Linked DNA regions of Anolis sagrei. The protein of the gene in region 2 interacts with the protein of the main gene of each other region in a pairwise test. Links are inferred from orthologs where the notes say so. Each region holds a gene or a part of one and is shown on either strand. Other genes may lie near its edges.

Region 1 (8,187 bases), on a different chromosome or scaffold from region 2:
TTTGAAACAGCCCCATTTCTCTCTCCTCCCACCTTGGTCCTCAAAGCAACCCAAACAACTTTCTTTTCCCAGCAGACACCAGGTTTCCCTGGCCCATGCGGCTCTTCCACCCGGTTGGCAGGCCATGCAAGAGTGTGCATGGGAGTCAGAGCGAACTGCAAACCTTTCACCAGATCCAGCGGCGAACCCGCCGGCACCGGACCATCTTCACGGAAGATCAGCTGCAGGCGCTGGAGGCCCTCTTCCACCAAAACCAGTATCCCGATGTCATTACCAGAGAGCATCTGGCCAACCGGATCCATCTGAAAGAAGAGAGAGTTGAGGTGAGGCTTTGTCTTGCCCCGAGCAATGATGGGCAGAAAGTATCAAATCTATATCTATAAATAAATCAAAGTATGTTTGTTTGTTTGTTCCACAAAGGCTCCTCCATGGCTTGATAGATTTGGACCACACTTGGCACACAGACCCGTCATTACCCAACTTAAAATACCAGTGAAGTTCAGAAACACATCCCTTTTGACTTTTGCCTTATTTTTAAAATGACTTACCTTGCTGGGCCATGAGACTCAACCAGCAGAGCCCAGAAGCAACCACAAGAGGGCACTAGAGTATAGCCAGAGGATCTACAGGGGAAGCAAGCCAGAGGGGGAGGGAAGAAAGGAAAAGAAGGGGGAAAGGAAGGAAAGGAGGGAAAGAGGGAGGGAAAGGAAAGGAAGGAATGGGGGGGGGGGAAGGAATGAAGGGAAGGAAGGGAAGAAAGAGAAGAAGAAAAGGGAAAGCAAGGAAAGAAAGAAGGGACGAAGGACAGGAGGGAAAAAAGAAAAAGAAGGGAATGGAAAGAACAAAAGAGGAAGGTGTATGAGGGAAAGCAATAGAAGAAAGAATGGATGAAGGAGAGGAGAGAAGAAAGAAAAAGAAGGAAACAGAAAGAAAGAAAGGAAGGAAGAAAGAAAGAAAGAAAGAAAGAAAGAGGTGTATGAGGGAAAGTGAGGGAAGAAGCTATTCCTGAGCCAAAAAGAAATGCAAACCCAGTCAATGCCGGGTATATACGTCAATAGGGGAATAAATAACCACAGAAATCTACTGAATAAAACCAGAGGCTGGAAGTAGTTTGTTCATGGCAACTAGTTACTTGGAATTAGTTCCTTTCCCAAATAAACAAAGGCATTAACTGCATTCCCTGAAAACTGTAACTTAAAAGAACAGCTTCACTTTTTGTGTCCATTCACACTGCTGTCCAGATTTAGAAGGCCACCCTTATTACTCCTTGACCGTCCTACTTGCTCTACTGCTTTTAAAAGGTCTTGGGTTATCTCCCCATTTCCCCCCTTTGTCCTTCTCTTTTTTCATTTGCAGCAAACTGTGGGTAAACGGTCCTTTTCCTCCCCTTTTCCACCCCTCTGCAGGTTTGGTTCAAAAACCGCCGCGCCAAATGGCGGCACCAGAAGAGAGCCTCGGTCTCTGCCCTCGGCCTTCAAGGCCCCAAGAAGCCCTCGGAGGGAAGCTGCTCATGAAGAGGAGTGCCGTTTCACCAGTCGAATGCGGGCAGCCCTTTTATTTCTGCGCATAATGCTGGGTTAGAGTTAGGGGGGAAAGAAGACAGATAGTTGGCCTTTTCACAAATACGGGTACGGCCCCTGTATCTGTGGATCAATACTCTTGTTTTCATTTCAGTCTGTCCTCTTTAGGCATTTCTTAGTTCCTTCAGTGCAACTCTGTGGTATCCTTGTCTCAGAGGTCCTTCATGTCATGAGATTTTGCCATTACCCACTGTTTCACGTATCCACGCAAAGTCCAGGAAGGTATCCCATTGCATATCCAGGAGTCATACGGTATTAGCACCATGTTTCCACTTGAACTGGGTCACTGTGGAATCCTGGGGTTCATAGTTCCGTGCGGCGCTCCAGCTCTCTTAGCAGGCCCCAGGATTCCATAGGAGGCTGCCATGGCAGTGAAAGCAGAATCATAGCACTTGAATTGTGTTGGATGAAAGGGGAGTATGTAATAAAATGTAATAAAAGTGGCCAAAATGGTAAATATCTCAATTTCAGCATCTAGATCCTACTGAAGAGCTTTATGTGTTTCCTAAAAAATGCCCCATTAAGAATCCTCGCCTGTATAAAGTGGTCTCCTAAATTGTACCTTGTTCTGCTCTTTATTTGTTGCCATGAATGTATTCATCCGTGCCAAAGGAATTACAGATTAAGCCACGGAAAGGCACCGATGGCACGCAAACATTGCTGTTTTTCATTCATAAGCCTCCCATGTTTTCTTAGAGTTTGAGGGTGCATCCACACTGTTGAATGAATGCAGATTAATGCTACTTCAACTGCCATAGGAGATTGCTTTGGAACCATGGGAGTTGTAGTTTGGCAAGACAAACGACCACTCCTTAGAGCCCTTTGCATTGAACTGTGGCAGCTCAAATGGCCTCAAACTGCACTCATTTGATAATGTAGATACAGTAGAAGCCTCCAGAGACTTGGGGCCAAAGGACCACCGACCCTCCATATCCATGGATTCGGTATCCATAGGTTCAATCAGCCATGGCTTGGAAATATTTTAAAAATAATCTGAAAAGCAAAGCTTGATTTTGCCATTTTTATACAAGGGATGCTGTTGCATATGTTATGTAACAACGTTGGAAACATTTTCTGGTCCTGGTTTGAAAGTGTTATTTCCTGTTTAATTGTGAGGTCCTTACTTTGAAAGCAGTTGTTCTACTCCAGAAACTTTGTTTTTGGGCCACAAACTTTGAGACTCGATTAGAGATTCATTGAAAAACTATCGCAAAATGTGCTGCAGGATGATGTTCCTCTCACAACAGCAAAGTTGTGTCAGTTAGATAAACCTTTTCTATGTTTTTATTATAGAACCAATTAGGAAATGACATTTATAACCCAGGAACAAGAATAGTGTCACATAGTGTAATGGTGAAATCAAGCAATTTAAAGCAGTAGCAGATACTGAGATCCGGATTGTGGACAGGGAATCCCAATAGCACGGTACCGAGATCCATTAAGCGGATGACGGGTACAAGCAGCATGCCACCTGTGGATCTGTGCCTGCCGAGACTAAGAAGCTATAACCCAATGTTCCCCGATCAACAAATCTGACCAGTTGAAGAAGCCACCACAACATTTTATTCATTCTGGCCAGAAGGGATGCCAGCCAGTGGTATGCCACTCAAAGAAGCTGACATGTGTGACAAGAGTAAATCAGACATTTTTATACAGTTTGGTCTTTTGTTTTTCCCATGCACACCCAGCTGGAGCCGACCATCTGGGAAGATTCCCTCTGTGAGGCAGTGTTGCAACCCAGATCAGGAAACGAGACCATAAGATTAAATCCACCACACTTGACTGTGGGAAAAAACAATCCTTTTTTATTGATGAAAAATGGTTACAAAATGGAGGAAAATGCAAAGTCAAAATGCCACAGTAAAACTCAGCAGTCAGGAATATCTCTGAACTAGATCAGAATTCCAAAAGCAACACTATAAAAACCTGGAACCTGTTAGCATCTCACTAACCATACTTGGAAACTAGAAGCCTCTGGGAATGCAGGCTATGGGAAACGGGAACTCTGCCAAGGTAATGCCTCAGTCTAAACGATGCTTGATCTAACGAGACAGCCTGGGGGGAGACACTTAAAACTAAAGAAACTTTTTCGGGACATGCCTCCAGGCTTGGAAGCCTCCTTTTCCTTTAATCTACTTGACCTTCGCAGGCTCTGTGATTCACTCCAGCTAGTCTATATATAAAAATGCTCTGGCATAACGAGTACCTTCAAAACAAAAAAAACTATGGGGCCAAATGACCCCAAATTTGGCAACAAAACTCCTCACAATCCAAGGAGTGACCATCACTGAAAGAAAACCCCACAAAAACACCCTTAAATTCAAAAAAGGAAGAAGACAACACGCCTCCCGCCCCGCGCTGAGGACACAGAATGAGGGTTCTGAAGCAGGAGTAACACTAAGGCAAGGGATCAATGGGCAGAGGAGGAGGAGGAGGAGGAGGAGAGGGAGGAAAGAAAGGGGGGAAGGAAAAAAGAGGGAGGCGGGCCACACTCTGTGCACACACTCTGACTCTCTGTCTCCCACACACACACTCCCACAGCACAAGGGAAGGGCGAAGGTGCCATGATGGGGGTAATAGGGATACACGAAACTGACATGGCTTGGAAAGGAGCCCCAAAGACCATCCAGCCCAACCTCATTTGCCAGTAAAGGAAGACACCATCAAAGCTCTCATAACAGATGGCCAACCAGGGAGCCCTAAAGGCCATCCAGTCCAACCCCCTCCTTCCTTCCCTTTCTCCACTTCCCTTCCTTCTCCTTCATTTCTTTCCCTCCCTTCCCTCCTTCCTCCCTTCCTTTCCTTTTCTCCCTCCCTCCTCCCTCCCTTTCATTCCTTCCTTTTTCTCCTCCCCTCACTAGCTTCATCCTCTTTTATTCAATCTACAGTGTAGATGCAAAGTCACCCCTTCCACACTGCCATGTGAAATCCAGATTAACTACTTAGGACTGGATTATATTCATGCGGGGGGCTATTATCACTTTAAGAGACACAGGCACAACGGGAAGTTGTAATCACTCAACCTCGATCACGAACATCTTTCATATGTGATAAATAAGATCATAAGAATCACATTCTTGCCCGCGATCTGTCTCATTTCGTGTGGCATCCGTGCGACGCACGCGCAATTTGAATCTGAGGACCTCCCAAAGGAGCCCAGGCCCAAACCAACCCGGAAATCGGGGCGTGCGCCTCAGTCTCACCTTGATGTAGTTCTACGGTGCAGCGCTCGTGATGGCAAGCGACCAATCCGCGGGAGGCTTTGTCGCAAAGGCGAGCAAGCCGTGGGGAGCCACTTCCGGTTCCGTCCTTTCCGGAAGTGCCTGCGCACAGCGGCTTGATTTGGGACGGGGAGAGCTTGGTTTCTAGGGGTGACGACGAGGTGTAGCCGGCCATGGAGCAGCCTGGGGCCTTGGTGCCGGTCCAGACCGAGGCCCGCGCGGTCGTGGCGCTGAAGGAGGCCGGCCCAGGACCTCCCAAGAGCAGCAAGAGGGTCCTGGACGAAGACAGCTACATCCAGGTGAGCGGAGGAGGCCCAAGGGGCTCGCCTGAGGGACGCTACACCGCAGCTTGACACCACTTGTACAACTCTGGCCTTCTCTGCCCGAAGAGGGCTGCTGCCTCCCCAAATCACACATCCCAGGACCCCATGGCTTTTCAAGTGGTGTCAAAGTGGGTTAAATCTACAGTGTAGATGCGCTCCTAGGGACGGTTATAGTATTTATATCCCACTTTCTTCTCTTAATGAGACTCAGGGTCCTTCCAGACAGCCCTATATCCCAGAATACCAAGGCCGAAAATCCCATAATATCTGCTTTGAACTGGGTTGTCTGAGTCCACACTGCCATATATTCCAGTTCAAAGCAGATAATGTGGGATTTTCTGCCTTGTTATTCTGGGATATAGGTATGTCAGGAAAGGCCCTCAGGGCCCTTCCACACAGCCATGTAACCCAAAATATCAAGACAGATAATGCACAATTCTGGGATAGGTCTGTGTGGACACTTACTTAGGCGATCCCTCGCTTTCCGGGGATGATTGTCTTCCAATATTCTTGTGGGTCCGTATGTGGCTGTGGAGCCCTATTCTTGCTCTGCATCTTCTTCCGCAGTGAGGGCATTGGTTTCCAGGTGGAAGGCGGTCTCGGCCGGGGTTGGCTTGACGCGCCTTCCTCTTGGCACGTTTCTCTTTTTCACCCTCCACTCTTGCGTCCTCAAATTCTGCAGCACTGCTGGTTACAGCTGACCTCCAGCTGGAGTGCTCAAGGGCCAGGGCTTCCCAGTTCTCACTGTCTATGCCAGAGTTTTTAAGGTTGGCTTTGAGCCCATCTTTAAATCTCTTTTCCTGTCCTCCAACATTCCGTTTTCCATTCTTGAGTTCGGAGTAGAGCAGCTGCTTTGGGAGATGGTGGTCGGGCATCTGAACAACATGGCCGGTCCAACGGAGTTGGTGGCGGAGGACCATCGCTTCAGTGCCCTTCCACACAGCCATGTAACCCAAAATATCAAGACAGATAATCCACAATTCTGGGATAGGTCTGTGTGGAAGGGCCCCATGTAACATGATTTGTGGCTGAGTTTGAACCCGGATCTACCCAATTCCTCATCTGACCAACTGGTTGTGATGGCACTGTATAATCAGAGGTGGGAAGAAGCCAAGGGTAAGAGAGAGATTTGGCTGGGACTCTTTGTCATGCTTGATTGTGGCTGGAGGTGACATTTCAGATGACCAGTAGGGCAGTTTCTTTTATCCCTAGCCATGCTGGTTGAGATTAATGGACCCCAGAAAGGCTAGCTTGAAGTAAAGCAGAGCTTTCCTTTCCTACCATTGATGGCAGGAAGCTGGAAATGCTTTCTTTTAGCTAGGTTGGTTGGTTGGTGGATGGGCAGGTGGCATGCTGAAAGATTTTCAAAGCCCTTCTACACAACTCCATATCCCAGAATATCAAGGCAGAAAATCCCCGCTTTATCTGCTTTGAACTGGGTTATCTGAGTCCACACTGCCATATATTCCAGTTCAAAGCAGATAATGTGGGATTTTATTCAGCTGTATGGAAGGGGCCTCAGTCCACACTGCCATATCATCTAGTTCAACGTGGATTTTATACAGCTGTGTTGAAGCGCCCCCAAAATACCAAGGCAGATAATCCACAATACAGTAGAGTCTCGCTTATCCAACATAAACGGGCTGGCAGAACATTGGATAAGCCCAGTTTTATTGTGTCTTAGTGTATTGTTTATTGCTTGTTGTTTATATTGCTTTAATTGTTTTAATTTGCTTTAGGTTTTGTATTGTTATATTGTGTGTTGAGGCCTTGGCCTATATAAGCCGCATCGAGTCCTTTGGGAGATGCTAGCGGGGTACAAATAAAGTTTAATAATAATAATAATAATAATAATAATAAGCAAAAATGTTGGATAGTAAGGAAGGATTAGGGAAAAGCCTATAAAACATCAAATGATTTTACAAAAGCCTATAAAACATTATGATTTTATAAACTAAGCACCAGAACATCATGTTTTACAACAAATCGATAGAAAAAGCAGTTCAATGCATAGTAACATTATGTAGTGATTACTGTATTTACAAATTTAGCACCAAAACATCGCAATGTATTGAAACAGCTATGGATCCAGGCGGGAGGCAGACTGTGTTGGATAATACAGAATATTGGATGAGCGAAGGTTGGATAAACGAGACTCTATTGTATCTGCATTGACCGGGTTATCTGAGTCTACATTGCCTGGAGTGTGGTAGAGGCTCCTTCTTTGGAGGCTTTTAAACAGAGGCTGGATGGCCATCTGTCATGGGTGCTTTGAATGCGTTTTTCCTGCTTCTTGGACTGGGTTGGACTGGATAGCCCACAAGATCTCTTCCAATTCTATGATTCTATGTCATCCAGTTCAAGGTGGATTTCTGGGCCCTTCCACACAGCCATATAACCCATAACATCAAGGCAGATAGTCCACAATATCTGCTTTGAACCGATTTATCTGAGTCCACACTGCCATATCATCCAGTTCAATGTGGATTTTAGATAGCTGTGATGAAGGGGCTTCAGAGTGGCTCACCACTGAAAAAACAGAACAAATGGCCATTTCAGACCGACAACAGGGCAACATTTAAAATAGAACTATTACACTATGTGACACTATGATTTTTTGTTTCTGGGTTATAAATTGCATTTCCTAATTGGTTCTATCATAGGCAAAGGTTTTCTCCTGACGTTAAGTCTAGTTATGTCCGATTCTGGGGGTTGGTGCTCATCTCCATTTCTAGCCGGAGAGCCGGTGTTGTCCATAGACACCTCCAAGGTCATGTGGTCAGCATGACTTCATGCTTCTCTGTTACCTTCTCGCTGGAGCTGTACCTATTGATCTACTCACATTTGCATGTTTTCAAACTGCTAGGTTAGCAGAAGCTGGGGCTGACAGCGGGAGCTCACTCTGCTCCCTGGATTTGAACCACCAGCCTTTTGGTCAGCAAGTTCAGCAGCTCAGCTATTTAACCCACTCCACCACCAGGGGCTCCCGGTTCTATCATAAAAACATGGAAAATGTTTATTAAGCTTTACAAGCTTTGTTTTTGTGGTCTGCACAAAAGGATT
Region 2 (7,584 bases):
ATATTCTGGGATATAGGGCTGTGTGGAAGGGCCCTGAGAGTTGTTGCCTCCAAAAATTAATTTGCCACCATCAGAAAAGCTCAAGTTGTGGCCAACTAGCTGCTCAAAATAGGAGCATAGGAGACCTAGACCACAGGAAGAGAGGTTTCTCCTCTGCAAACTCTTGCTATACCCACATTCTTCAAGGAAATGCCTCTTCTAATTCTGAGAAGGGAAGATGGCCCCACCCAATGGGGGAGGGGGTATTTCTACATTAGAATTAATGCAGTTTGCCACCACTTTGCCATGGCTCAATAATGTGAATTCTGAGAGTTGTAGTTTTACTTTGCCAGTAGCTTTCCATGCCAGAGTTAAAATGATGTCATACCTCTGGGGATGCCTGTCATAGATGCAGGCAAAATGTCAGGAGAGAATGCTTCTGGTCTGGAACATGACCATACAGCCCAAAAAACTTACAACAACCCGGTGTCAGACTGCATTCATTTTACAGTGTTGAGATACCCATCAGTGTCTTCTAGAGCCCTTCCACACAGCCATATCAAGAGAATATCAAGGCAGAAAATCCCACAATATCTGCTTTGAACTAGGTTGCCTGAGTCCACAGTCATATATTCCAGTTCAAAGCAAATAATGTGGGATTTTATTCAGCTGTGTGGAAGGGGCCCTAGTTAAAACCTGCTAGGTTCAGGTTTATCAATGCTTAGGATCTGAGTGTTGGAGGAAGGAGAGAAGTTCTGCCTGTCTTCTGCAGGACTCCCAGGGCCCTTCCACACATCCATATAACCCAGAATATCAAGGCAGAAAATCCCACATTATCTGAGTGTGGACTCAGATAACCCACAATATCTGCTTTGGACTGGGTTACGTGAGTCCACACTGCCATATATCACAGTTCAAAGCAAATAATGTGGGGTTTATTCAGCTATGTAGAAGGGGCCCCAGTGAGGTGGTGCCTATGCTTTGAAATTATCCTTACCTCAGCCCTTTCACCCTATCCAACAAGCTTACTTATTCATTTACTTTATTCTTATCCCACCTTCCTTCAAATATAGGGATTCAAGATGGCTAAAGAGTGCTCATCACACTAGAGAACGAATCCACTTTAAATCCAGTTTCTGCTTCCTACAGAGTTCTGGGGTTTGTAGTTTAGGGAGGAACATTTAACAGCCTTACTAAACTACAAACCCCAGAATTCTGCAGGAGGCAGAAACCAGATTTAAAGTGGATTCATTCTCTAGTTGTGCTGAAATAGTTTGGACTGCTATGGCTCAATGCTGGGAGTTGTAAATCTTACAAAGGTCTCTAGTTTGCATGGACAAACTTGGGCCCTCCCTCCAGGTATTTTGGACTCCAACTCCCACCATTCCTAGCAGCCTCAGGCCCTTTCCTTTTCTCCCTCAGCCGCTTAAGTGGCTGAGGGGGAAAAGGAAGGGGCCTGAGACTGTTAGGAATGGTAGGAGTTGGAGTCCAAAATACCTGGAGGACCAAACTTTGCCCAGGCCTATTCTTTGTTAAGTTCCATTTTTAATGTTTATTTTCCAGGTCTGTAATTGTTGCTTGTTGTTTGTTTACAACATTTATATGCCGCCCTTCTCACCCCAAGGGGAATCAGAGCAGCTTACAAGACATATATATATACAATATATATTATTCGCATAGTACAATATCAGTATTAAATATTACTATATTGTACTGTAACATTATATTGTAATATTATTAGTAATATTACATATATTATAAATATATAATTATAGTATCATATTATTATTATTACTGGGAGCCCCTGGTGGTGCAGTGTGTTAAACCGCTAAGATGCTGAGCTTGTTGACCGAAAGGCTGCAGGTTCAAATCCAGGGAGTGGCATGAGCTTCCACTGTCAGCCCCAGCTTCTGCCAACCTAACAGATGTGAGTAGATTAATAGACACTGCTCTGGCATCAGGCATGTAGCCGGGGGGGGGGGGGCTTGGGGGCTTCAGCCCCCCCCCCCCCAAATTTTCATGATGGTCTGCGAAAAGGCCTTACTGGTGCATTATTTAAACTGTTATGTTTATTCATATCATGATCTGATCACCATACTCAATATATCCCATATGCATGGGGGTATTGGGGTAACGATACAAAAGGTTTGCTAGGGTAGACCCTCTTTCACTCAGACGCAGCCCCCCCCCTGAATCAAACTCAGCCCCCCCCCCCCGAATCAAAATCCTAGGGGCCTGTCTGGCAGGAAGGTAACAATGCTCCATGCAGTCATGCCGGCCACATGACCTTGGAGGTGTCTATGGACAACGGCAGCTCTTCGGCTTAGAAATGGAGATGAGCACCAACCCCCAGAGTCCGACATGACTGGACTTAATGTCTGGTGACAACCTTTACCTATTATTATTAGTAGTAGTATTATATTCGTAATTGTACATTGTGTATCAATGGAAAAGTGGTATACAAGTAAAACTAAGTTGTGACATTAGTCCGAAAGAGCAGATTCACCTCTCCCTCCAATTTAGGGTCCTTCCACACAGAGTATCAAGGCAGAAAATCCCACAATATCTGCCTTGAACTGAGTTATGAGTCCATACTACCATGATATTCTGGGATATAGGGCTGTGTGTGTGGAAGGGCCCTTAGACTTGACACCTGTCCCACAAACCCACCAGCCCTCTGCTGGCCTCTCCCCCGCGCATGCGCCCTGCCCTGCCCTGCCCGCCCTGCCCGTCGCGCGCTTACTTCTCCCGGAGGCGCAGGATGTCGTCGCTGAGGTTGTCCCGCTCCACTTCCACGCGCGCCTTGTCGTTGGTGAGCTGGTCGACCTGGCGGCGGAGCTCGCGCATCTCCTCCTCGTAGAGGTCTCCCAGGCGGGAGGTGCCTTTGCCCTTGAGCTGCTCCAGCTCCGCCAGCAGGATCTTGTTCTGCTGCTCCAGGAAGCGCACCTTGTCGATGTAGTTGGCGAAGCGGTCGTTGAGCTCCTGCAGCTCGGCCTTCTCGTTGGTGCGGTTGGCCTTGAACTCCGTGTTGATGGCGTCGGCCAGGGAGAAGTCCACGCCGGCGTCGCCCAAGTGGCGCATCGCGGGCATGCTGGACCGCAAGCGCACCGACTTGGAGGCGTAGATCCCGCCGCCGGGCGCCGAGGAGACCAGGCGCACGCTGCTGGGCCGGATGGCGCTGCCCAGGGAGTAGCGCGTCGAGGAAGAGGAGACGTAGCGGGTGCCGCCGCCGCCTCCACCACCCCCCATGCTGGACCGGCCGGAGCCTCCGAACATGCGGCGGTAAGACGAGGTGCGCTGGCTGCTCGTGGTGCTCATGGTTGTTGTAATCCCAAAAGTGTGTGGAGTGGAGGAGGAGGAGGAGGAGACGGCGTGGAAGGCTTCTGCTGCAGGTGCGCAAGGCAAGAAAGGCGCTGCGGGCCGAGGAGGAGCGCCTTTTATACCCCGGGCACGCCCCTCCCGTCCAACAAGCGCCCGGAGAGCCAATCAGGAGGCCCCAAAGCCGGCCAAGGATGACTCACGGGGCCTTTGGGACCCCTGAAGGGAGGGGGGAAAGAGGGGGGGAGGGATGATGAGAGGCCCCTCCTCCTCCTCCTCTCCCTTCCTTCCTTCCCTCGCAGTCCCAACCCAGCCCAGAGGCCCAAGACTAGTGTTTTAGGCTGCCCTGTATCCAAGGATCTCATCCATCTCAGGACCTTTCCACACAGCCACATAACCCAGTATATCATAGAATCATAGAGTTGGAAGGGATCTCATGGGCCATCCAGTCCAAGCCCCTGCCAAGAAGCAGGAAAACTGCATTCAAAGCACCCCTGACAGATGGCCATCCAGCCTCTGTTTAAAAGCCTCTAAAGAAGGAGCCTCCACCACACTCCGGGGCAGAGAGTTCCACTGCTGAACAGCTCTCACAGTCAGGAAGTTCTTCCTAATGTTCAGGTGGAATCTCCCTTCTTGTAGTTTGAAGCCTAGTCTCCAGAGCAGCGGAAAACAAACTTGCTCCCTATGACTTCCTCTCACATATTTATACATGGCTATCATGTCTACTCTCAGCCTTCTCTTCTTCAAGCTAAACATGCCCAGCTCTTTAAGCCGCTCCTCATAGGGCTTGTTCTCCAGACCCTTGATCATTTTAGTCGCTCTCCTCTGGACACATTCCAGCTTGTCAATATCTCTCTTCATTTGTGGTGAAAATTGTTGGATTTTCAAGGCAGAAAATCGAACAATATTTGCTTTGAACTGGGGCCCCTTCCACACAGCTGAGTAAAATCCCTCATTATTTGCTTTGAACTGGGGTATATTGTGGGATTTTCTGCCAGGGTTATATGGCTGTGTGGAAGGGCTCTGGGTTATCTGAATCCACACGCAGATAATGTGGGATTTTTGGCCTTGATATTCTGGGATATAGGGCTGTGTGGAAGGGCCCTGGAATATATGGCAGTGTGGACTCGTAACCCAGAATATCAAGGCAGAAAATCCCCACAATATCTGCTTGAACTGGGGCCCCTTCCACACAGCTAAATTAAACCCCACATTTTCTGCTTTGAACTGGGATATATGACAGTGTGGACTCGGATAACCCAGTTCAAAGCAGATATTGTAGGATTTTCTGGCTTGATATTCTGGGTTAAATAGGTGTGTGGATGGTTATCTGAGTCTACACAGCCATATATTCCAATTCAAAGCAAATAACATGAGGTTTTAATGTGGAAGGGGCCACAGATAATCTGCTTAGAACTGGATTAAATGAGTCTCCACTGCCAAATTATCTGGGACAAAAAGATCATCTGGGTTTAGATCCTGGGATAGAGTAAAGAACCAGTCTAGAACAAGCATCTACTTAGGTGTAAAAAACAAAACCCATTAGTGACTCCATTTATGGCCCTTTCATAGAGCCATATAACCCAGAATATCAAATTAGAAAGTCCTACAATATCATGTTTGAACTGGGTAATTGGAGTCCACATTGCTATATATTCCAGTTCAAAGCAGAAAATGTGGGATTTTATTCAGCTGTGTGGAAGGGGCCTCAGTCCCAGCTCAGTGACAGCACTCTGCTTTCTGACGAAGTTTGAGTCAGTTTAGCACTGCAGCCCAAAGAGAAGAACCACCATTAGTAACACCACTCCCTTTCCCTCAGGGTCCTTCCACACAGCCCTATATCCCACAGTATCAGCTTTGAACTGGGTTATCCGAGTCCATACTGCCGTATACTTCAAAGCAGATAATGTGGGATTATATTGAGCCGTGTAGAAAGGGCCTCAGAGACGAAAGAATCTTTAACTCTCTTTCTAGCCAAGGCTGACCCAGTTTCGCCTGGAGAGGAGAGACCCTTTAAACTGGCTTCTTTGGTTTATGGGAAAGCTTTTCTGCAAGTTGGGAAGGACTTCGGAGAGGAAGTGAATTGGGCTTCGATATTTATTAGAAGAAGCGGCTGAGGGGGGAAAGGAAGGGGCCTGAGACTATTACGAATGGTGGGAGTTGAAGTCCAAAACACCTGGAGGGAGGGCCCAAGTTGGCCCATGCATGGTGTAGAGGCGCCCAACATTTCCAGGGCTCCCCCTCAAGACTCCGCTCTATCTGCCGCCATGGCGCGCCTCGCAAACTTTTCAGTGTCTTGGTTCACTTTTCGTTTTCGGGGCGGCTTTCCTCGCCATGTCCGGCAACGTTGGTAACAATGAGCTCCACCCTTGGCTCCCCCGATTTCTTTCCTTCTCTCCTCTGCTTCTACTTTGCTCCTCCTCCTCCTCCATCAATCAGGAGTCTGGCCCTTGTCCGACCGCTGCAGCCACCGTCCCCTCCTCCGCCTTTCCCCTCGCAGGGCTTTTCCCCGCCGTCAATCACCTCCCCTCCCCCCCTCCCCTTGGGTTAGAAGGAGGCACTTTCTCCCCCTCCTCTTCCTCCTCCTCTTCGCCCTTGCAACAAAGTTGGGCTGGGTGTTTGAGAAGAGATTCTTCATTAATATCCGCACACCAACAGCAAGCGCACTTACAAAAACGACCAAGCACTTGGACAATAGTAAAGAAAACAGCCCCACAAGCATCCTCCCAAATCAACGACTAAGGCCCCTTCCACACAACTGAATAAAATCCCGGTAATAGTATGAAAGCTGGGTCCGGAAGCTCAGAGCGTTACGCTGTTTCCGCTTCGCTCCTTCGGGAGCGCTATTTGCGCAACACAGAACGGAACACAGATATTCATAGTTCATCGTTCTTTCATGGTAAAACCCTAAACCTAACTCTAACTCTAACCCTTAACCCTGATCCTAACCCAAACCCTAAACCTTACCTTAACCCTTAACTCTAATCCTAACCCTTACCCTTAACTCTAATCCTAACCCTAAACCTAACCCTAACCCTTAAACCTAAACCTAACTCTAAGCTTAACCTTCTTAACCCTGATCCTAACCCAAACCCTAAACTTTACCTTAACCCTTAACTCTAATCCTAACCCTTACCCTAACCCTTAACTCTAATCCTAACCCTAAACCAAACCCTAACCTTAAACCTAACTACAGCTTCCAAGATTGTGTAACACTGAGACATAGCCATTCAAGTGGTGTCAAACTGCATTTATTTTGCAGTGTAGGTGTACCCGCTATTTCCAGCTCCTCAGGGCCAAGTTCATGTTCTTTGAGATGCACAAGAAAGGCATGCTTGCTTATCAGCCATGTCCACATGGGAGTTTATCTGATGCCAGAGAGGAGTCCTGTTTGCTTGGCTGACTTGCCTCTTGCCTCCGCCTGACTCTGCTGGAGACACTTGTATATTGTGCTGCTTTTTAATAATAATAATAATAAGGCAATAACTTCCTCAGAAAGGGGAAGGAAGCTGTGGCAGATCTACATTGTAAAACTAATTCATCTTGACAGATCTTTACCTGTCATGGCTCAGTGCTATGGAATCCTGGGATCTGTAGTTTGTTGAGGTACCTGCACTCTTTTGACAGAAAGGGCTGAAGGGCTTCTAAGGCCCCTTCCACACAGCTGAATAAAATCGCAGGTTATCTGCTTAAGAGTTTCTAAGGCCCCTTCCACACATTGAATAAAATTCCACATTATCTTCTTTGAACTGGAATATGTGGCTGTGTGGACTCAGATAACCCAGCTCAAAGTACATATTGTGTGTTATTCTGCCTTGATATTCAGGGTTATGTGGCTGTGTGGAAAGGCTCTAAAACTACAACTGCAATGATTCCATAGCATTGAGCTGTGACAGTTAATGTTGCATCAAACTGTATTCATTTTATAGTGTAGTAGATGCATCCAGCGTGTTCTCAGGTGGACAGATTTAGGCCCAAAGGCTTTCTGCAGCTATCCTGTTTTTTCTTGATCTTTTTTTTTATTTCTCATAAGAAATGGAGAAAAAAAGAGGAAGTATCCTGTTCATGATGCAAAGCGGTTGCACAGCACAAATTTCATCTGCAAATACACTTGCTGACTTACATCTTTCAAAATCAGTTCTGCTAATAGATGTGGTCATTGGTCAGGGAGTCAATCCACTGAGTTCCATAGGAAGTTTCTTGTTGGTATGTGTGCTAGGGACTCATCACCCTATTCTGGGGTTTTCTTTCTGAAATTTATTCCGAGGAGGTTTGTCCTTGCCTTCC
Region 3 (7,563 bases), on a different chromosome or scaffold from region 2:
CACCTTTGCTTTCAGATAATTCTGTGTACACAGCATTTGTATCAAATTACCTACAGGCTATCTGTATAAGGTATATATTAAACATCAATGAATATAATATTTAGTTTTGGTTCCATCTTGAAGTTCTCTCTCTAGGTACATATATACAAATGGTCCCAAGCATTTCAGATAAAGAACACTCAACTAGTAATAGTTTCAGCATTTCAATGGCTTCTTCAAATATCAGACTGAAACTACTATTGAGCTAAGCCACCACTAACAATGCAGCATTTATATATTTGATTTTTTTATAAAAAAAATCATAAACTTCATGAGAACTCATGGCCTTGGTCATCCTTGCTTTTAAAAATATGCTTTTTATAATGACCCAGAATTCTTGTTTAATGAGACAGAAAATGCTTCTGAAGACTCAGAGTCGTTGTTCAATGTGCTCCCTTACATTCTTACTTGGTGGTTGGAAGAGCGCACTCTCAAGGAGGTCGTAAAAGAAAAGACAATGAGGGGAGGTACTGAGGCTACACAGTGGCCACAGAAACGATGAGATCTGCTTCAGAACACCTGCCATAGATTCCCTGTACCTGTATGTAGACAGTACTCAAGGTCAGCATCTGCTCAAAGCATTATAGTCCTACTTGGGTATTCACTGAGTGAAGAATCTACATGGACATAGAAGGGCTGATGGGTCCTGCTCAGGGCTCCACATATGTTGTTGAATAACTTCTGCATAGTGGACCCTTTACTGCCTTTAGATGTTATTTGTGCAATATAGATCCAAATTCATCAAGTTAGATCTCTCTCTTCTGTTTATCTATATCTATCTGCTTCTCTGTGTGTGTGTGTGTGTGTGTGTGTGTGTGTGTGTAGAGCACCCAGAATCCCCAGCCACTCCTTATTTGATGGCATTGAAAGCAAAAAAGTAATCTTTCTGCACTATCCAGTTCCCCCATTACATCCCCCATTCTGTGGGCATGGTTCAAAGTGCAATCCTGCTTTATTATTCATGCCAGAAAGAGCCCTGCTTCATTTGTGTTGCTTCTTCATTCTAGAAACACCAGAAGAAGGTTTATTTGTTAATAATCACAGTGCAGAGTCAAAATAACTTTAAAACACAGAAAGTATAAAATGGCTCACTTTTAAGTATCTAAACTTGCCCTTTGAATCATGTTGCGATAGCCGAGAACAGGCAGCTAGCAGAAACTTGGAATATTGTACATTTTGTGTGTGCTCCAAGTGACACCCACCCACCATCATGAGGTGGGGTCACTGCATTCCACTGAAGCTGCAGCTGTCGAATAGTCTTCAAAGGCAGTCATATGCAGAATTCATCACACACGGGCATGAATATGGATTGTTAGGCTGCATTCTTGTTAAAGAGAGTCGTTTTGCCAGATGGAGTTGGACATTTGTCAAGTTCTCCATAAAAAGAAGCCTTATTTAAAAAGGGATTATTCGTCTGTTTTTATTTGATTCATTGTTATTATTTTGAGGGGAGTGATCAGCTATGAATTAATTGAAGGTTGCTGCCACAACTGTGATTCTGGAAATTATATGTGAGTACTCCAGCAAAAAAATTCTTTGCTCAGGGTAAAAAGGAAAGAAAGAAAGAGAATTGTCTTTTGTAAAAGAAATGTGATCCTGACTATTGTAGTTTTAGTATTTACACAGACAGCTTTGGCAAGGTTTAAAACTGGGCTCCACTATAAAACCTAAAAATGTCCTGGACATGAAGTTGTTTACATAAAATATGAGAAGATATAGAGTTACAGGGCTGGGGATTGGAAGAGACTTCTAAAACCATCCTCCTTGTTGCTGACGTCACATAGAAACCAGCTGCTGGGATGATGCTAAACAGAACTGTTTTTCAGTTTGCAAAAAGTTGCAAAGTTGATCTAATAAACTTCCAAGGGCTGTCTTGATTGAGAAGCTGATGATTTTCCTTTCTTTGAAGGATCAGTAATTTCAGAACTGGAAGTCTTTTTCCCACTTCACTGTTCTCACTGCAACTTTAGATTTGGACTGACGTACACACAGGGGGATTCTTCTACTGCAAAAGGTAGGTCTATACTTTTTTATTTGTTTTAAGAATTATTGTTCTTCTTCCCCTCATTTGAAAAAAATGGCAATATTTTCAGAATGTGATGGACTTAAATGCTCTGTTCAAAGGGTTATTTAGACATCTGTCTACTTCCCACCCCCACCTTTGATTTGAATGTAGGTCAGGAATCATTTCAGTTAGAAATGGATTTGGTTTTTCAAAAAAAGGCAGCATGATTTTTTCCTAAGCAATGAGTGAGAGAATTAACAGCATGTATTTAAAATGCATTTTATTTTATCTTATTCACCAGAAGAGGATTTTAGATGCATGCACATAGTCACATAGAGAAACCTGCTGCTGCCGTTAGATCAAAACTTAACGGTTTTGTAATACGTGCTCAAAATTCGGCACAGTTGAATGACAGAGATGCCTATGGATCAAAAGAAGCCATGCTTATCTTAAGCACTGTCCTGTGCATCCACTTTTGTTCCTCTCCATTAAAACATAACACCTCCTTGACTGATGTCACTCCCTGTTATTTTTAGTAGATGCTTTCCATTCCACAGAAGGGTATTTATTATAAACTATTTGGACTTATCAACACATGTTTGCATGCAGGGGGAATGAGATTTAAAATTTTGTGTTGTGGCATGCAGAATTCTTTTAAAAAGAAGACTGGTTTGTTTCAGAGAAGGGGGTGTCCAGCGGATATAGATGGCATTGATTGTTCACATAGTTTTACTGCTGTATTGAGCATCTGACCTTGGCTAGGACACTGTGGAGACGTGTCAGGGCAGCAAAAGGACAGATGCCCTGCTGTTTTCTAAGGCAATCCAAAACCGCAGGCAGTATCTAGAGTTTTGACACTGGAATGGAACATTCCAGAATAATTGAGACTGATCATATTCACCCCAGCACCTTTCTGAGCGTTAGATAAGCACTTTGCAGACCCACTGGACCAATTTACATATCATTTGAAATTTTGAGGTGCCTGCAGGTGAGGGGAAGAAAGCTTTTCCACTGGGTTTGAGATGTATTTTCTTGTAAAAGGCAAAGGTTTCCTATTTACATGCTGAAGAATTGGTTTTATATATATTGAGGGTTACTTGTGTAAGAAAAAGGGAATGAGATTTTCAAGACTTTTTGTCTTCCCCTGGCCACTGTGTGTACTAGAGAAAAGGAAATTCAGTTTTATTCTCCTAGGGAAGAGAGGATTTATTTGACATGAGACAGGGATGAAGAACGGAGGTCCTTGGAGGCATGTCAGCACCATAATACCAGCTTGAGCAAAATTAAGCAGTGACCCAGTTCTCAATGTGTAAACATCAGCTGGAGCTTTAGTGTACACAGAAACAATTAACAAGAAAATGTGGCCAAACCATGAGCAACCATGCAAACAAACAAAGGGAACTTGAATGAAAGGGAAATGTATCCTCATGATGTTACTTGGCTGGGACATCTGACAGGGTCTCAGGAAGTTGTACCTTTGCTTTACAGATGTGATTTTTCAGTGAATACTTTTCTAAAGCATGTTAGTGGTTGAAAGGTAGTAATTTGCAAAAGTGCATTGTTGTGATTAATTCAGTTTGTGATTACTGCCCTGCATCCCATTTTATAGAGGAAAAGCTCAGTTTCATAAAGTGACTTGCTACAGATTGAGCACAAGGGACTTCTGGGTCCAAGCCAATTCTTTAACTACCTGGCTATACATTCTCTTCTGCATGAGTTGCATCACAATCTGGCTGATAGGTGCTCATCTACTAGGAATATTTAAGTAAAGGGGAGCTTGCCCTGAGTAATGTGGCCCCAAGCTCCCTTTCAGCCATCTTACTCTACGAGCATTATCTGTAATGTAATGACTCCAGCTGTGCTCTTCCAGAACTTGATTGCATTTGGATTATCTCCAGTGTGGCTTTGTAAATGTCGTTTGGTGGGAAACAGATTGCAGATTGCAAAGCCTGGTTTACCATATAATGATTTTTAAAGCGCTGTGTGCTTTATTCTCCATTAACATAGTAGGCTCTTTTGTAAGTGCACTGTTTGTATGAGAGAAAGGCACATTAAGGAGAAAGGTATTATTTCCATGCTCGTGCTTTAGCAGTTGTACATTTTCTGCTTCTCATTGAACGATTGCATTAAACAGATGTTCTGTCTTTTCTTATTTGATCCCTTTACACAGAAGTCTCGAAAGAGATTAATCTTTGCATTGTTTAAGCCAAATGGGCGAAGAGAGGAGCTGCTCTTTTAATGCCTCTGATGTCTGTTTGAATGGGTCAGCTTAAAAGTCAATTTAATTCCCTTCCCAAAATACTGTATTTTTTAAAAAAATGTAACAACAAACCCAATAATTAGGGCAAACTTTTGCAAATGTTGAAATGGCTGCACATGCTCATTTTGAAATAGCATTTATACTATGAAAAAGCTTTCACTGCAGTGGAAACTTTAAGTAAGAAATTGTTTTTGAGCAACAGTCACTGTAGTCCCTGGCTGGAAGTGATGGAATCTTCATCGGCTGGCTGCTTGCTACAAGAAATCCAGGCCCTTTTTCCTTAAACAATCATTCCCTCTTGGCCTCATTTCTGAAAAATGCCGTGTTGTCTTTGAATAGCTCTGTTAACTCTCAGTGAAGTGACTCTGATTTGTAATAAAGATGTTCTATTTTTTCCAGCCAGGTATAAACAGAAATACATTTGTCTAATCCAAAGCCTTTAGAAGCCAAACTGAGAAGGGAGGAAAGACCAAACCATGTGGAGTTTCAGAGTCCAGTGACAGACCAAGATGAGATCTGGAGAAAGAAGGCGGTGATTGCTGTGTTGGGCAGGTATGCTATTCATTGACTTCCATTGGTTATGAAAGAATAATGTGGAATTTGTCCAGTTTTTTCATACTTATTACAGTACTTTTAAGAATTGAATCTCATGAAGCAACCTTGGAGGTAAAGGGACTTATCTGGTTTTGGAAAGGCTAGGAAAAAGCCCTGGCCTAAATCCTGAAGAATAATTTCTGTCAGTCAGAGTTGGCAATACTGGACTAGAGAATCAAGAGGCAAATCAGGGATGGCAAAAGTGTGACTCATGGGTGGAATAAAGCCCCAGAATAGTTTTTATTGTCCCAAGGCATATCAATTGTGTATTTTAAAAATATAACTTTTTGTTACACTTAAATGCATCCAGACACTCTTTGCGGAGCAGTTTCACCATGTTTATGGCTCGGCCATTATTGGTACAAGTGACTTGGAGCTGACTTCTGAATTATTTCTTAATGTAAACAAGAGCTTCACACCCACATTTCCATTCTTGGAGAGGAAAAGGCTTAGAGGGCAATTTTTTTTCAGCGGGGTGCATCCCTCTAAGGCAGTGGTTCTCAACCTGTGGGTCCCCAGGTGTTTTGGCCTACAAAACTGGCTGGGATCCCAGAGATCCCAGCCAGTTTACCAGCTGTTAGTATTTCTGGGAGTTGAAGGCCAAAATATCTGGGGACCCACAAGTTGAGAACCACTGCTCTAAGGTCTCCAGGGAAGCCAGTGCAGCCCCCTAAATCCCAATTGTTTTGCACCTCTGGTCTTATTCAACATAGGTCCCTTTCTCTGTCCTTATTTTCCATATATCCAAAAAAAGGGATGAAATAAAAGAAAGAGGAGAAGAAAAAAGGAGAAAGAACTCATATGGGTGGCATAAGACACACTACTATTTGAGAATGATATTTAAGAACAGCCCCATGTCTAATGATAAAAATGATTTTAAAAACTTATATTTTACATAATAACCAACACTTCGTGACAGTTTTTAGATTCAGCAATAAAGAAGAAATGTAATTAGTAAAAAAAATCAAATAAAGTATATATTTAAAATATTTCCCTCTTCAGTCACTGAAAATAGCTGATTTTTTACCGAGTTTGAAAAAGTTACTTTGAGGGATGGGTGGAAGAGAATACCTTCCATAATCTAGCTTCTTACATGGCCATACTTGCTGGGGGATTCAGTGAGCTGATAACCAAATATAAATGTCCCAAGTTCTAGCATACAGAAGCAATGCTGGACTAGATGGAATTTGTTTTTCCCCTTTGCAGGGTATTTCTTAAACAATAGTGAATATTTAGAAACACCTAAGGCAAATACATTAAACCCTTTGGAAGTCCCGATTTTCCACTTCTGCTTCATACATTCAATACATGTGAGTGGACTATTGGGATTCATGAAAAAGGATAGTTTTCTGAAACTGAATTCAGCCCACTACTGTTGTGGAGTAGCTTGTGTGTGTGTCTATATTTGCTTATTGGAAAAGGGGGATGAACAGAATGGTTGCGTCAGGGTAAAATCACCTTCATTAGCCAGCCTGCTATCTTTAGATTCACTGAGGCTGCCTTGTCAACAAATGAAACAAGCAGGACGTGAGCAAAGCCTTAGGACTTGCAAAGGTGTCAGGGCTTGAGTTTCCCTGTCAGGCGGTTCAGGAAGGACAGAGATGGCTCAGCAATCTGCAGCAGCCTTGCACTACTTTACACAAACATGATCCCAACGACATCCTTAAACCTGGACACGTACATCTTATTTGGATGAATATACTCTACCTATTCATTATATGTATGTTATTTCTTTATATGCCTGTTCTTTTTCTGGATTGTTTAGCAAAATCATGCCACTTACACTTTAATGTTTCAATTACAGTGTTAAAAAAGCAAATGTAATGTATGCAAGTGTATCAATTGTGCGTGAATTCTCATTTATAAAGCATTTATAAGATCTATATGCATATGTTTGTGGTTAATGTATGCTTCTTCTAGCATCCATAAAATCAATTGTTTCTTCATTGTTAAACCATGTCTTAATGTTAGTAATTAATTTATTCATTATCACATTCCAGAGGTTTTTTGTGCCATTCCTCTACAGGTGGTTTTTTAATCACTTTCCCTTTTATACGACAAGTATCGTTGCAGCTAGTTATTAATTATTAACAGTATCCAGTTCTTCATTAATTAAATTGCACAGATCACATTATGCAGGTCCGGTCTTTGAAAGTATGTAGCATATCTTTCCAAAACAGTCTGTAATATAACATACCAGCATCATTGGTGTATCATTTTCAACATTTTACGCCCTGGAAGTAGCACTGTACATTTTAAAATTAATCTTGTGAGCACACATTATGAATGCGACATCAAACGTTAATTTTGAAACATTACTTTTTTAATGTTTAATGTAATGCCATGAAAGTCTTCTACAATACATTACCTTTTTTAAATTACATGGTCTAAAAGTGCAATGAAAGAAATGTATACAGTGAGATTGAAGGGGGTGCTGCATTAGATTTTGAATTTCCCACTTTTTATTTTTCCACAGATCTGTTGCATTGGGACTTTTAAAGAAAAGCAATTATCTGTTTAAAAACCTACTGCAATCTGCAACCAATCTTTAGTGCAAAGAACATTGCACTGACCTCGCTGTTTTTCTTGTGGCTCCTCCCCACCGCCCCAACAAAAAGGTTGCTGCCTGTGCCGAGTACCATTTCTCCAGGTGTAAAACACATTC
Region 4 (7,662 bases), on a different chromosome or scaffold from region 2:
AAGATCTAATACATGTTGAGTATCCCTATTCCAAATGTTTGGGGCTAAAACTGTTTTGTAATTCATATTTTTGAGGATTTTTTAGTACAAGTACTGTACTGGAAACAGAGAGGCATGGAAGGGGCAGATTTGCATCAAACACATTGTTTGGATTACTGCCATTTCACAGATCCTCAGGCACCTTCTACACTGCCATGTAGAATCCAGATTATCTGCTTTGACCTGGATTATATGACAGTGTAAGGTAAAGGTTTCCCTTTGACATTAAATCCTACCTTATACCCTGGATCCCCTTCCTGATATCCTACACTGCCCTATCTCCCAGTGTTTTTAAAATTTTTAATCCTTGAATCTGGCCCTGCCCACTGTGATCATTGTTAGTGTTGAATGTTTTGATTTTATACTGTTGTGTTGCTTATTTACATTGGTTCTGCATTTTATGTTATTTTATTTCTTGATTTTTGTTGTGTTTTTGTGTTATATTGTGTTTACTGTATTGATGGGTGTGGCCTCAAGTAAGCCGCTCTGAGTCCCCTTGGGGAGATGGTGGCGGGGTACAAATAAAGTTTATTATTTTACTAGCCGTCCCCTGCAACACGTTGTTGTGGCCCACATGTGGGTTCTGTGTGGGAGGTCTGGCCCAATTCTATCGTTGGTGGGGTTCAAAATGCTTTGTGACTGTAGGTGGACTATAAATCCCAGCAACTACAACTCCCAGATGTCAAGATTCGATTTCCTCCAAACTCCACCAGTGTTCACATTTGGGCATATTAAGTATTCTTGTAGAGTTTGGCCCAGATCCATCGTTGTTTGAGTCCACAGTGATCTCTGGATGTAGGTGAACTACAACTCCAAAACCAAAAGACACTGCCCACCAAACCCTTCCAGTATTTTCTGTTGGTCATGGGAGAACTGTGTGTCAAGTTTAGTTCAGTTCCATTGTTAGTGGGGTTCAGAATGTTCTTTGATTATAGGCGAACTATAAATCCCAGCAACTACAACTCCCAAATGACAAAAATTATTTTTTTCGAGTGAAGGACATACATTGGGTTGTAAGGTGTCTTGTGTCCAAATTTAGTGTCAATTCATCCAGTGGTTTTTGAGTTCTGTTAATCCCACAAATGAACATTACATTTTTATTTATATAGATTATTAAGTCTAGTTGTGTACAACTCTGGGGTGGTGCTCATCTCCATTTCTAAGGTGAGGAGCTGGCATTGTTCTGCATGGTGCGCCTTTACCTTCCTGCTGGAGCGATACCTACTGATTTATTCACATTTGCATGTTTTGGAACTGCTAGGTTGGCAGAAACTGGAGCTAACAGCAGGAGCTCACCCCCCACTCCCCAGATTTGAACTACCAACCTTTCAGTCAGCAAGTTCAGCAGCTCAGTGATATAACCTGCTGTGCCACTGGGGGCTCCATATGGCAGTGTTGACTCACACAGGATATGGCATTGTAGACTCATATAATCCAGCTCAAAGCAGATAATGTGGATGGTCTGATTTAATAATCTGGATTATATACCCGTGTAGATAGGGCCTGAGTCTCTCCCTAGCTTTGTCTTTGGTTAATTCGCTACTTGTGTTGTATATGAGATTTGATGGAGAGACTAAGGATCTGAGAGATGAACAAATAGGGGTGCTGCTGCTGTCACCTCAAAAGCAGAAATGGGTATCCATGGCAAGAAAGAGAGGGACTGAGTATCTGATCAATGAATGAGCTTCTGCCTCCAAAGTGGAAGCAGAAGGCTGGCAACAAAACGTTTGAGGATCTGAGATCTCTTTTGTTCTTGTGTTTATTTATATAAATCACTCTCATTCTTCTCGGGGTCTTTTGACTTCTTTGTGGGCCCTTCCACCCAGAATATCAAGGCAGAATATCCCACAATATCTGCTTTGAACTGGGTTATCTGAGTCCACACTGCCATCTATTCCAGAATGTGAGATTTTATTCAGCTGTGTGGAAAGGGCCCTAGCTGCAGCCTCTCTTGCCTGGTGCTGAATGGACAGCTCCTTTCCTTACAAAATTAAAAGGGAATCAGCAAGAGAAGCTGGTCTTTTCCACCAAGGTCCCTTCCATTCTGCATTATAAAATCCATATTATCTACTTTGAACTGGATTATATAGCAGTGTAGTCATATAATCCAGATCAAAGCAGATAGTGTGGGTTGCATATGGCAGTGTAGATAGAAATAACCAGACAAACAGTGGTTCCCAACCTTGTTTGTTTAGGTTTTTTTTTTTTGGCCTACCGGAATTCTGGGAGTTGCAGTCCAAAACACTGGTGGTGCAGCGGGTTAAACCGCTGAGCTGCTAAACTTGCTTATCAAAAGGTTGGTAGTTTGGTGGTTCAAACTACAACGAAGGAGATTCCATCTGAACATTAGGAAGAACTTCCTGACTGTGAGAGCTGTTCAGCAGTGGAACTCTCTGCCCCGGAGTGTGGTGGAGGATCCTTCTTTGGAAGCTTTTAAACAGAGGCCAGATGGCCATCTGTTGGGGGTGCTTTGAATGCAATTTTCCTGCTTTTTGGCAGGGGGTTGGACTGGATGGCCCATGAGGTCTCTTCCAACTCTATTCTGCTCTGGTTAGACCACACCTGGAATATTGTGTCCAATTCTGGGCACCACAATTCAAGAGAGATATTGACAAGCTGGAATGTGTCCAGAGGAGGGCGACTAAAATGATCAAGGGTCTGGAGAACAAGCCCTATGAGGAGCGGCTTAAGGAGCTGGGCATGTTTAGCCTGAAGAAGAGAAGGCTGAGAGGAGATATGATAGCCATGTATAAATATGTGAGAGGAAGACACAGGGAGGTGGGAGCAAGCTTGTTTTCTGCTTCCCTGGAAACTAGGACGCAGTGAAACAAAGGCTTCAAACTACAAGAAAGGAGATTCCATCTGAACATGAGGAAGAACTTCCTGACTGTGAGAGCCGTTCAGCAGTGGAACTCTCTGCCCCGGAGTATGGTGGAGGCTCCTTCTTTGGAAGCTTTTAAACAGAGGCTGGATGGCCATCTGTCAGGGGTGCTTTGAATGCAATATTCCTGCTTCTTGGCAGGGGGTTGGACTGGATGGCCCATGAGGTCTCTTCCAACTCTTTGATTCTATGATTCTATGAGAGGCGGATGAGCTCCCTCTATCAGCTCCAGCTCCTCATGCGGGGACATGAGAGAAGCCTCCCTCAAGGATGATAAAAACATCAAAATCATCCAGGCGTTCCCTGGGCAACGTCCTTGCAGACGGCCAATTCTCTCACAACAGAAGCGACTTGCTCCTGACACGACAAAAAAAAAAACAACAAAAACCTATGCCCGGCTCCCCAGCCAGAGAGAGAAGGCGGGGCTCTGTGACCCGCCAAGAAAATCCAACAAATGCTACGTTCAGCAGACCTCATTACCTCTGAGGATGCTTGCCATAGATGCAGGCGAAACGTCAGGAGAGAATGCCTCTAGACCATGGCCATATAGCCCGAAAAAACCTACAACAACCCAGTGATTCCGGCCATGAAAGCCTTCGAAATTCTCATGGTGGTTTGCGAAAAGGCCTTACTGGTGCATTATTTAAACTGTTATGTTTATTCATATCATGATCTGATCACCATACTCAATATATCCCATATGCATGGGGGTATTGGGGTAATGATGCAAAAGGTTTGCTGGGGTAGACCCTCTTTCACTCAACCCCCCCCCCCCCGAAACGAAATCCTGGCTACAGGCCCGTAGCCAGGATTTCGTTTCGGGGGGGGGGGGCTGATTTTTTTTCAGGGGGGTTTCTGGGGGGGCTGAGTTTCGGGGGGGGGCTGAGTCTGAGTGAAAGAGGGTCTAGCCTAGCAAATCTTTTGTATCATTACCCCAACACCCCCATGCATATGGGATATATTGAGTATGGTGATCAGATCATGATATGAATAAACATAACAGTTTAAATTATGCAACAGTAAGGCCTTTTCGCGAACCACCATGAGAATTTCGGGGGGGGGGGGCTGAAGCCTCCCAAGCCCCCCCCCCCCCTCCCGCTACATGCCTGCCTGGCTACGCTCCTGAGATCAATAGCTACTACTTTTGCGGGAAGGTAACAGCACTCTATGCAGTCATGCTGGCCACATGACCTTGGAGGTGTCTATAGACAACGCCGGCTCTTCGGTTTAGAAATGGAGATGAGCACCAACTCCCAGAGTTGGACAGTACTGGGCTTTTACCTATGCCCGGCTCCCCAGCCAGAGAGAGGAGAAGGAGGGGCTCTGTGACCCCGCCCCTTCCTTCCTGCCTGCCTGCTCCTCTTTCCCACCTGCCTGGCTGGGGAGCCGCCCTTCGAGGCCGGCCGCCCACCCCGCCTGCTGGGGGCGCTGCAGGAGCCCCGCCCCCCTCCGCCGCCTTCCCATTGGCCCGCCTCTGTCCTGATCACGCCCCCTCATCCGCCGCGTCCCTTTGTACTTTCTCTCACGTGACTCGCGAGCGGCGCGAGGCAGGCAAGGCGGGAGGCGCGCGCCCCCTCAAGCCCGGCCGCGGCCCCGTCTGTCGCGCGCCAGGCGGAGCCAGTCAGCCAGCCAGGCAGCATGGCCGAGCGGAAGCGGGCTTGGAACACGGAGGCCGACCTGCCGGTGTACCTGGCCCGCCCGGGCACGACGGCGCAGACGCCGCGGCAGAAGTACGGCGGGATGTTCGCGGCGGTGGAGGGCGCCTACGAGAACAAGACCATCGACTTCGAGGCCTACAGCGTGGGCCAGAAGGGCTCGCGCACCCCGCGCAGCGGCAGCCGGCACGACCTGCTGGACGGCGCCGGCGGGGACAACGGCAGCGAGGCGCCCAGCGACGCCAGCGAGGTCTCCGGCTCCGTCGTCAGCTCGCCCGGCGCCGAGCGCGACCACCGGGGGACGCCCGGCGTGGCCATCCGCTGCCCGCCCGGCGCGGACAATGGCAAGGTACGCGGCGCGAGGAGGAGGGGGCGGGGCCGGCAGGGGGGGAGGAATGCGCAGCGCCAGGCCCCTACGGTGGCCCAGCAGGGTCCCTGGAAGGCGCCCCCACTTCGCCTGCCAGGGCTGCTCCAGAGGGGAGGGAAGCCTACCCAGGGATAAGGGCCTGGCCTTCCTGCAGCATCCCTTCCCAGCAAGGGTTGGAAACCACTTCGGGGGGAACCAACTGCTTGGTTTGAGGCCCAGTCTTTGGATGGTTTCTAAAGCAGGCTGGACAGCTCCTCTGGGGAGATTCTAGTTCCAGCCCTCCATGTCATTTTATGTGACCTCCAGAGGCTTGGTGGGTTAAACCCCTGTGCAGGGGCGGCTCGTCCATTACGCAAAGTAAGCGGTCGCAGAACACTTTTTTTTGCCAGGGGCGCAGATGCGCCTCTGTAAATGCCCCTTGACCACCACTTGAGGAGCGCCCCCTCAGCTCACAACACCCCTAGCAGTCCGGGGGGAGCCTCGGCTTTCTTGCCTCGCTGCTGGGCGATCCTCTTCCCAAAGGGGCCGGGCCCTTGAGCCTCGCCTAGCCCCTCTCGTTCCTGCTCCACCCGGCCACCGGGTGCGCGAGCAGAGCTGGCGCTCAATCGTTCTCCACGTTCGATCCCTTCCCCATGACCAGCTCCCTTTCCCGATCCCCTGGCGCTCCACTCACCTCCTCTCCTCTCCCCAATCCGCGGGTGGTCCAGGGGGCGGAGCTGCCGCGCCTGGCCCACTTCGGGTCCAGAGGCGTGTCTGAAGACCCCAGCATGCGCACCAAAAGTCACCTCTTCTCCTGACTTTCTCTTCAGCCATTGGGACCAAGAGAGAGAGAGAGAGAGAGAGAGACCCTCCGGCTGGAGGTATCTCCCACCTCCGCTCCCTCCTTTGTTTTTGTGCCTACCTTCAGGAAAGGTGAGCATCTCCACCTCTCTCTCTCTCGCTCTCTCTTGGTCCCAATGGCTGAGGAGAAAGTCAGGAGAAGAGGTGAATTTAGGTGCACACGCCGGGGGCTTCAGGCATGCCTCCGGACCCAAAGCGGGCCAGGCAAGGGAGCAAGTGCGGCAAGTGTAGTTACTGGGATGTATAGTTCACCTACAATCAAAGAGCATTCTGAACCCCACCAATGATGGAATTGAACCAAATATGGCACACAGAACTCCCACAACGAACAGAAAATATATATCAATGATTGGTTGGGGGGGGGGGGCGGCAAAATACTGTTTGCTTACCGTTGAAAATTAGCTAGGGCCGCCTCTGCCCCTGTGCCAGCAGGACTGAAGACCATCAGGTCGCAGGTTCAAATCTGGTGTAAGCATGGATGAGCTCCCTCTATCAGCTCCACCTCCCCATTGTGGGGACATGAGAGAAGCCTCCCACAAGGATTGTAACACATCAAAAGATCCGGGCGTCCCCTGGGCAACGTCCTTGCAGACGGCCATTTGTCTCACACCAGAAGCGACTTGCATTTTCTCAAGTCACTCCTGACACGACCAAAACAAACCAACAAAAAAAACGGGTTGCTGTGAGTTTTCCGGGGTGACTGGCTGTGTTCCAGAAGCATTCTATTCTGAAGGGAGAGATAAACTTCTTAAATAAATAAATAAATAAATAAATTTGACACTTGATTTGGACACAGTACACCTATCAGGCCAACGAATGGCTGGATGGCTCTCTGTCAGGTGTACTTTGATTGTGCTTTACCGTCATGCTGTTGGGTGCAATCCAGCCCTTCATGTGATTTTTGTGTCCTCCAGAGGCTAGACTATATCTCCTGTATCCCTCATAGAATCATAGAATAATAAAGTTGTGTTGTTGAAGTATTTCATGGCTGGAATCTCTGGGTTGCTGTGAGTTTTCCGGGCTGTATGGCCATGTTCCAGACACATTCTCTCCTGACATTTAACCCATATCTATGGCTGGTATCCTCAGAGGTTGAGGGGTCTGTTGGAAAGTAGGCAAGTGGGGTTTATATTTCTGTGGAATAATGTCCAGAGTGGGAGAAAGAACTCTTGTCTGCTTGAGGCTTCCTTGATTAGCACTTGATTAGCAGAGCCATGTATTCTGTTGGGCTGCAGTTCCCAGTATCCCCATACTGCGTGATGGATAATCAAAAGTGATGGGAGTTGCCATTCAGTAGCATCTAGAGACTGTTCTTTGGATGTTTTCAGAAGGGGACTGGACAGCTACCACCCTGGGGAGGCTCTAGCTCAGGCATGGGTAAGCTTCGGCCTTCCGGGTGTTTTGGACTTCAACTCCCATAATTCATAACAGCCTACCAACTGTTAGGAATTATGGGAGTTGAAGTCCAAAACACCTGAAGGGCCAAAGTTTGCCCATGCCCGCTCAAACTCATAAGTGTCAACCTCAAGGCCAGTGGGCCAAATCCCTCCCACCATGTACTTTTATGTGGACTACACCTCCTGTCTTCATCATTCGACATCATGACAACTGTGATGGGAATTGTGATGCAGTAATACCTGCTCTATTCAGTCAGGAGAGTGGGTTTTGCATTCAGATACAAGGCTTGTGTGTATGATGTCTGAGTTTAAAATATCCTTTCACCTTTCCCCAAACCAGAGCCACAAGTCCTGTTGGGTTACAATTCCCATTATCCCCAAAAGCGATGGGAGTTGTTGTTCAATAACATCTGGGATCCAAACTAGGTAAAAACTAAAAAGCACTGACCACTATGTAAAAACATTGTAGTCTGTACCCAAGGA

What was found.
Region 1: the proteins of VIM (region 2) and ESS2 interact in a two-hybrid assay, tested with the Homo sapiens proteins (2 studies listed by BioGRID and IntAct). The link is inferred for Anolis sagrei from reciprocal best matches to the Homo sapiens genes VIM and ESS2.
Region 3: the proteins of VIM (region 2) and KIAA0408 interact in binary tests that used the Homo sapiens proteins (3 or more experiments, as listed by UniProt). The link is inferred for Anolis sagrei from reciprocal best matches to the Homo sapiens genes VIM and KIAA0408.
Region 4: the proteins of VIM (region 2) and CRMP1 interact in binary tests that used the Homo sapiens proteins (3 or more experiments, as listed by UniProt). The link is inferred for Anolis sagrei from reciprocal best matches to the Homo sapiens genes VIM and CRMP1.

Annotation. Positions count from the first base shown.
Region 1 is NC_090034.1:33,136,830-33,145,016, reverse strand, and holds the start of ESS2 (splicing factor ESS-2 homolog), read left to right. Parts: upstream 1-4,862; 5' UTR 4,863-4,974; coding exon 4,975-5,100; intron 5,101-8,187. Other genes in the region: GSC2 (homeobox protein goosecoid-2), read left to right, coding at 76-323, 1,407-1,514. UniProt on the Homo sapiens protein: May be involved in pre-mRNA splicing.
Region 2 is NC_090026.1:105,844,468-105,852,051, reverse strand, and holds the start of VIM (vimentin), read right to left. Parts: upstream 3,384-7,584; 5' UTR 3,298-3,383; coding exon 2,723-3,297; intron 1-2,722. UniProt on the Homo sapiens protein: Vimentins are class-III intermediate filaments found in various non-epithelial cells, especially mesenchymal cells. Vimentin is attached to the nucleus, endoplasmic reticulum, and mitochondria, either laterally or terminally.
Region 3 is NC_090021.1:84,695,486-84,703,048, forward strand, and holds the start of KIAA0408 (uncharacterized protein KIAA0408 homolog), read left to right. Parts: upstream 1-4,286; 5' UTR 4,287-4,307; intron 4,308-4,703; 5' UTR 4,704-4,856; intron 4,857-7,374; 5' UTR 7,375-7,563.
Region 4 is NC_090025.1:104,770,465-104,778,126, reverse strand, and holds the start of CRMP1 (dihydropyrimidinase-related protein 1), read left to right. Parts: upstream 1-4,458; 5' UTR 4,459-4,558; coding exon 4,559-4,924; intron 4,925-7,662.